2 linked regions of the Sus scrofa genome follow. The protein of the gene in region 2 binds, or shares a complex with, the protein of the main gene of each other region. Links are inferred from orthologs where the notes say so. Each region holds a gene or a part of one and is shown on either strand. Other genes may lie near its edges.

The links.
Region 1: CMC1 (region 2) and SMIM20 share a complex: the UniProt entries of both Homo sapiens proteins name them as parts of the MITRAC (mitochondrial translation regulation assembly intermediate of cytochrome c oxidase complex) complex. The link is inferred for Sus scrofa from reciprocal best matches to the Homo sapiens genes CMC1 and SMIM20.

The regions. Positions count from the first base shown.
Region 1 is NC_010450.4:19,699,686-19,704,108, reverse strand, and holds the start of SMIM20 (small integral membrane protein 20), read right to left. Parts: upstream 3,068-4,423; 5' UTR 2,951-3,067; coding exon 2,842-2,950; intron 1-2,841.
Region 2 is NC_010455.5:14,751,462-14,755,241, reverse strand, and holds the end of CMC1 (COX assembly mitochondrial protein homolog), read right to left. Parts: coding exon 3,692-3,780; intron 813-3,691; coding exon 692-812; 3' UTR 553-691; downstream 1-552. UniProt on the Homo sapiens protein: Component of the MITRAC (mitochondrial translation regulation assembly intermediate of cytochrome c oxidase complex) complex, that regulates cytochrome c oxidase assembly.

The sequences.
Region 1 (4,423 bases), on a different chromosome or scaffold from region 2:
TCAGTCCTGCAAATTCCACTGTTACCGATTAGCAAACAGGCTGGGCTCAGAGAGGTTAAGGAACTCACCTCTTTGAGTAAGGGATTTTAGGCCCTTATCTGACTTACCCCTTTTCTCGCCCTCTTACAGAGACGGCCTGGTGCCCTGGTAAAGCGATTAAGGGCCCTGGTTCAAATCCCATGTCTGGGACTCATCGGCTGTGGGTCCTTATGCAGGTTATCTGTTCCATACCTCAGTCTGTGCACATATAAAATGGGGATGATGGGAGTTCCCATCGTGGCGCAGTGGTTAACGAATCCGACTAGGAACCAGGAGGTTGTGGGTTCGATCCCTGGCCTCGCTCAGTGGGTTAAGGATCCAGCGTTGCTGTGAGCTGTGGTGTAGGTCGCAGACACGGCTCGGATCCTGCGTTGCTATGGCACCGGTGTAGGCCGGCAGTTATAGCTCTGATCAGACCCCTAGCCTGGGAACCTCCATATGCTGCGGGCGCGGCCCTAAAAGGACAAAAGACCAAAAAAAATTAAAAAAAGAAAGAAAAGACAAAAAATAAAATAGTTTAGAGTAGAGTAGAATAGAATAGAATTAAAAAATAAAACAGGGAGCTAGTCACACAGCAGCTACCACAAAGGGTTGTTATGAAAACCAAATGGGTTAATATATATCAAGTGCTTGCAAGAGAGCTTTCAATAAATATTAGCTATTTAGTATTATTTACTTTTTTAAGGAATCAGTTATGACTCTCAGATAAGAGTTGTTCAAATCAATTAAAATTGAACCAGAAAAGCAGGCAGCTGTAGAATGCCTTACAGTTAAAAATGCAGATACTGGAGCCACATGCACTAAATGTTCACTTTAAAGGCCTCATTTGTCTATCTCAAGGTGACTCAGGCAACCATAGACTCTGGACTACTCCCCATCCCGCCTTTTTTTTTTTAGGGCTGCACCTGCCAGATATGGAAATTCTCAGGCTGGGGTCGAACTGGAGCTGCAGCTGCCAGCCTACAGCACAGCCACAGCAAGTGCCAGATCTGAGCTGCACCTGCGACCTATGCTGTATCTTGTGGCAATGCTGGATCCTTAATCCACTGAGCAAGGCTAGGGATCAAACCCTCATTCTCATGGATATTAGGTTCTTAAACAGCTGAGCCACAATGGGAACTCCCTGGACTATTCCTTTAAGACTGTCATTGGGAGACACAGCACAAACCCACCTTGATCATCTGCCCTAGAGCAAGGGTTTCTCAACCCAGCACCACTGGCACCACTCGCATCTTGGGCTGGGTAATTCTTTGTTAAGGGGTGGGGGCTGCCCTGTGCATTACAGAGAGTTTAGCAGCACCCTGGCCTCTATACACTAGATGCCAGGAGCACACTTACTCCACCCACCCCACCCATTTTGTGACCAGCAAAAACGTCTCCCGATAGAACTAAATGTCCCCTGGGGGACAAAAATCATCCCCAGTTGAGAGGTACGGCTCTAGTCTTCAGAACTGAAACTTTTCAAGTAGGATCCAAAGTAGATTCCCTTGTCCCAGCTTCAACTCTAGGGGCTATAATACAATAGCCCGGGGCAAGGACCAAGTAAGAAGGGATAAAACAGAGAGATAACGCAGGGCTTCCAAGGTCCCATGTTTACCCCCACGCGTGGTCACGCGTGGTCACGCGTGGTCACGCGTGGTCACGCGTGGTCACGTAGATAGATAGGCTGGAAGGCAGGGTGCAGAGGCCATTTCAATCTTGACTGATGAAAAGAAGCTACAAGAAATTTGAGTGTGTACTTAAACCGCTCTGCCTCAGAAACCAGATGTTGTAGCATTTGTAATGGTCAGAGCATTTATACAGCACTTTTGCCTTCAAATCACCAAGCTCACAGCCTCCACTGATATTCTCAAGGGGCAAGGTTGGCCCTTTTCCATCTTCTAGATGATTCAGGTTTCCTGGAGAACAAAATGAGCCTCTAATGCCTAATATTTTCTCTCTGACAGATGGTTTCAGATGTATCAAAGTGCTAATCCTTGCTGAGGTATAGGTCTCAAGGAAGGGGAGTGTGGCTTTTAGAATGATAGGACTGGAATGATTAAGGAAGAAAATTACTCCCAGGATATTCACCATTGTCATGTGAGTAACCAGCTTAAAATGAAGGAAGATAGCAGAATCTGAAGGAAGATTTGAGGAGAAAGAAGAGGAAAAACCCAAAACCTCAGGTTAACAGTTTAGCTCTGAGACATTTCTGATCAAAGACATCTTTGGGAGCGGAAATGAAGTGCAATAAACACATCTGCAAGTTCAGGACAATTAGGGCCCACCTCCCTCCCCCAATATCACCTTCCCAGCTTCAGTACAAGGAAGAAATTCTGGAGACAGAGGCCTGGGTTGGAATACGTGTCTTGCCGCTAACAGCTGTGTGACTTTGGGCATGTTACACAACCTGAGTCTCAGTTTCCCCGTCTGTAAGACAGCAACATGTACCTCAAAAAAAGGTGTAAATTAAAAGATCCTATGTGCATTAACGAGACATAGAAGCCTGCAGTGAATGTTAGCTATGAATATTAACTCGTATTTAGTGTTGACCTACGACGTGCAGACTGCCTTTGAGTCTCAGCAGAGGCTAGACGGTTTTATTTTAAGATACTACAGAAACACATAACTACTGATGAAGATAGTGAGGGCCCAAGAGGTGGAGTCACTTGTCCACGGTCACAAAGCTGCACACAAAGGATTCGAACCCAGGTCTCCCTGACTCGCGAGCCAAGCTCTGCCCAAGGCCCCACGTGGAGAGGATGGGGAAAGAGAGGGAGTCACTGGGACCAGGGCACCGCGTGGTGGTCAGAGGTCACTCACGGTACTCCTCCAGCCGCATTAGGGGCCGGAAGTAGATGGGGTAGAAGGCGGCGCCGATCAGGGTGATGAAGCCACCAAAAATGAGCGCGGTGCGCAGATTCGTGGACATGGCTCTGAACCGGGCCTTCGCTGACCCGCTGAGGACACCGAGCTCTCGCAATCCTGGCTCCTGCCCGCTGGGTCGTGACCCGGCTGGGAAGTGGAGAAACGGCTTTTGCTTCCGGGCCTTGTGGGCGGGGCTAGGAGGCGGAACAGGGGCGGGAAGAGGTTGGGTCAAGGGTGGCACCGAAGGCGGGGCTTAGGACTGGGTGGGGCTAGGGCAGGGGGTGGGGCTGGGGCGGGGGTGGGACTAGGGGAGGAAGGGGCGAGGCGTGTAACCCCACGCACCGCCTCCGGGCGGTGCCTGGCAGCGCCTGGCTGCCTGGCTCCGGAGGGCGAGCGCCAGCTGGGAGAATGGAGAGTGGAGCTTTTATTGCTCTTGATCTCAGTTCCGCCCCCTGCCCTAAACCGGGTTCACCTCTCAGCCGCTCCACCCACACTCTTCTGACCTCGTTACCACTCCCTCCTTTACCAACCAAACTTCCTTCTTCCACCACTGGTTTGATTTTCATGACTCCACCAAGAGGTGGATGCTCTCTAGGGCTCATTGATTTAATCCACATATCTTTTACAGATGAGGAAATCCTGTCTTGGCTGCATGATTTAAACAAGTTGCTTGGCCTTAAGGGCGGTTTGAGGGGATTAGAGACAAATGCAAATCGCCTGACCCTGGATGGCCAGCAGGGGCTTCTGAACCAAGGCTAGCTTGGGAGGAATATTATTGCAACATCCAAACTACAAGTAAATCTTTTCTGACTCTGATCTTCCATGCTCTCCTCTCTCCCTCTTCCCTTTGTTGGATGTCAGGATTACGAATGAGGATGGGGAATAGAGATCCGTGCAGGGCAGGGAGCCAGCAGCCAGTTCTACTAATGGGACCTTGGGGCTCTGCCTTGTTGCCTGGGGTGGAAGCCACTGAGGACAGATCTGCTTCCTCTTCCTGTGATTGCCATCCTTCATGTTTCTGGGGGGGGGCTGTGTCAGTATATGACCCACCCAGCGGTACTGGACAGCTGAGACTAAGATTCCCTGGGCTTTCACTCAATCGTTTTTAAATAAGAATGATACCAGCAGCTGGGGGCTGGGGAACAAATCTTGACCCCAGCATCATTATTTAGTGCAGAAAAGATTTACGATCTTTCGGAAATGGTGTGGAGGTCACAGGTTTCCTCTTTTCTTTGTAGTTTTGTAGTTGAGTCAAGCTACTATGTACCTCTGTGGTTCCAGAAGCATATAAATCAGGTATTCAATCTGTCAGCAGATTTATGGACTGTCCGCTGTGCCCCAAACATCAGGCAAAGTGCCACGGGGGACACAAAGATGAATAAGACATGACCCTTGCTCTCCAGGATCCTGTCATGTGGATGGAGGGACAGGACATATACATAAAAAGACAGCTAATGACCCGACACAGCCTGTTGCTGATGAGTGATGGAGTCTTGGGGGCTGCAGAAGTTCAGAGGAGGAAGACAGATGACTGTAG
Region 2 (3,780 bases):
GGTTTGATCCCTGGCCTTGCTCAGTGGGTTAAGGTGCTGTAGGTCAAAAATGCAGCTCGGATCTGGTGTTGCTGCGGCTGTGGCATAGGCCTCAGCTGCAGTTCTGATTCAACCCCTAGTCCAGGAACTTCCACATGCTGCAGATGTGGCCATTAAAAATACTATACTCATACTACTACTGATAATAACTACAAAGAGCACTTACCATGTGCAAGGCACTGTCCTACCTACTCTACTTACCTGCAGTACTTGGTTAATACTCATGGTAACTATGAGACATATCCACAGTTGCTTAACTAATAAATGGTAGGTTCATAACCATTATGCTATACTGCCAAGTTACTACACCTCTGAAGGCTGTCCATTCCTGCTTTGCTTTAGTAAATGCTGGCCACATGAGGAGAGTAAGGTAAGAGTCATGTGGAAACTTAAGAAATCAGCTGTCACTGTTACAGAACCACAGTTGTGCAAAAGTTAATGGAAAATCCATAATGACCAAGCAGACCACATCCCATTTTACTACTTACTCCTATCCTATTTAATAAACTTAACTTTGAAGTTTGCAAGAACTTTATTTCAGATAAAATTATTTCCGTAATTAAGGGTAAAGCAAACACTTCCTTAAGTCCGTTATTTCAGGTGACTGTGATTTCCATGGATATTAGGGTTCCTGAGTATCATTTGACTTCGCCTACATGCTTGTGGGAAGCTTCTGTAGTCTTTTCTTGGTAGGAATCCCAGTTTTTCTGAATTCTTCCCTTTCCTTCAGATATTCCATTTTGCATTCTTCATAAAAGGCTGGATCATTATAGCTATAAGAAAGAAAAAACTTTTAAAGTGAATTACTTTGCAAGCATATAATATAAGCTCCCTTTCACAATACATTCAGACATCCAGTTCATCAGACACAATCTTTAGTAGCAGATTTTTAATAATGGTCAAATTTGTTGTAAACATTCAGCTACCAAATTAAAGGGAGAAAAAAAAAAAAAAAAGACCTAATAGGTTTTTTTTTCTGGATAGCCAGGAGAGAGAAACAGGAAGCTCGGCACCGTCCTCAGGAGTCCAAGATGTCAGAAGACAAGGCCTGTGTCACAGTGATGCATGTGGGTGGGAGACAGAGGCGTGGCCCAGCGCACCATGGAAACAAGGGAGCAGCAGGAGAAGGACACTGTCCAGGGATATTTGAACCACATTCTGAAGGACCAACAAAAATGCACATAGAAGGCACATGTGGAAAAGCCCACAGATGAGGAAACACTGACGGGCGAAGAGCTATATGTACACTAGTACCAGCATAGCAGTTTCTCAACAGAAGAAGGGGCTGAGGTGAAGCCAGAATGGCAGAGGCCCGGTCATGATGATCCATTCATGCCCCTCTAATAAGTCAGATCTACCCGAATGGGCACTATTAATATGACAGCTGTGAGATCAATTCTGTGTCTTGAATAAGTCTGACAACTTGTGGCAAAAGGCCAGCAAGGTGAGAGCAGTGTCCAATAAATAAACCAGGACCTTAACCCAGACAAGATGCAAAGAGGGCCTGAGCACAGGGAGGCACATCCTGATGAGAAGGGTGAAATCGCTCTGGGGGGTAACTCAGGAGATGAAATGAACAATTAGGAGCCCAGGAAGATTCTGGATTCTAGACGAGTGAAATTGACAAAGACACAGGATGCAAGAGTCAAAGGGCCAAGTCCAGTATGGGGCCTGAAGAAGAGAGCCAAGAAATGAATCCACGATTGACAGGAAGGAGCTGGATTCCGTGGATGTAAACTGACCTTTGTCATATTTGACAATGAGGAGAAGATCTGGCAAACCGACATGAAGGAAGAGGAGAGGAAGAAAAGGTCCAGAAGAGAAAGACAGAGATGCTGAGGGAAGAGAAAAGAGGGTAATGAGGGAAGCCAGGTCGAAGAGCATCTTAGGGGTTTCCAGAGAGGTCGAGTTTAGAAAGGATGGGAGGATACCTACTAGAAGCTTTAGGAAGAGCAGCTTACACCGGGTGAGGGCAGAAGTCAGACTGCAGTTTACTGAGGAACAAATGAGGATGAGACGGGGGACATAAGAGAACACAAACCATCAGTGTTTCAAGAGGTCACTGAAGAGATGAGAGGGTAGGAGCGCGTCCATGGGACGGCAACAGTAAATACAGCAGAGCATCTCTTAGCATATGTTGAGAATGAAGGTCAAATAACACATTCTCTGGGAACAGCCCTCCGTTCAATTTCAGCAAATGTCAGTCATGGCCTGTTGCCTTGCCTGCTTCCACCTAAGTGGAGGCCTCCCCTCTGTGTTCCCAGCCATCTCCCAGGATGGGCCAGAACCTATCATTTTTACCTTCCTATCTTCGTGGGGCAAGAGAAGGAAGGACATTCAAATGATTATGATGCAGATAACAGCAGTCAATAAATAACAAATACAAACTGAAAAACAGAGCTAACATTTACTGGGCACCCTGTGCTGGGGCGATGTGTGCATATGGGGGCCTCCAGGTATCCTGCAGCAAATGTCACGGAGGCGGTGCTGTGCTCTGGGGGACCCAGAGGACACGAGCCTGGCCGCCCTCCTGGCCACATTCCTGGGCCCTTTGCCCCAGGGCTGCCCACCCCAACCAAGAGGCATAGCTGATGATGATGACTGGCACCAGCTGAATAGCTTCTAGTCAACAAACATCTCTTGGAAGCTCCAGGGATCAAAACTCTTACTTCTCCAGTTAAGTGCTTAGTGCAGGTCCGGGCTCATAAAAAAGAGCAGCTGTTAGAATTGCTTTTAATCTCTTATTCACTGGAGAAAAGATATGTGGACTTAGAATATGTTTCCTCATGTATAAATGCGGGGACTAGTTTAAATAATCTCTAAGGTCTTCCAAGCCAGTATTCTAAAATTGTCTGTAAACTTAACATGTACATTATTCCTCATCAAAAAAGAAAACAAATATAAGATTCAGATAGTTACAACTTTCTTTTTACCTAACTGCCTAACAAGTGTCAAAACATCCTGATATAGATGGTTCCCAGGCCAGGGGAGGAGAACACGGAACGAAGGAAGGGCCGTCCAAACGTGAGGCCTCGCTGACGACTACCAACTAACTACTCGCTGAAGGACCACACTCTGCAATGCCAACAACGTGGGTAATACAATGAGTGAGGAGATGAGCAGAGAGCACCTGCATTCAATAAAACATCAGTGAACCTTACATATAAGAAGCACTTTTATGTTTTGGCCGTGCTTGTGGCACACACAGGTTCCCAGGCCAGGCACCAAACCCGCACCATAATAGCGACCTTAGCCACAGCAGTGACAACACTGGATCCTTAACCCACTGAGCCACCAGGGAAGTCCAGACCTAGAATTTTAATCAGATAAAATGCTGAAAAATACGTGTAACCTGAAAAGACCCTTCGTGAATATGTGAGATTTCCTTTTTTTTTCAGAACAATCTTTGACAAATTACAGTTTTAGACTTAGCAACAGTATGATGAATTTGGTGGGGGAAGAAGTACAGAATATATTACATGTAATGAGTTAAATACTATGCTCTTACCTAGAACACCTCTCTCTCTCTCTCTCTCTCACACACACACACACACACACACACACACACACACACACACACACACACACACACACACACACCAGCAGCAGCAGCAGCAGCAGCAGCAGCAAAAACACTAAGGTAACTACTTACTAAGCAGTTAGACAGTCTTTCAATGCAGAATTTTCTTTCCGGCATTTTACTACCATAAGGATTCCAGAGTCCTTGCAGCATTTAGTGAA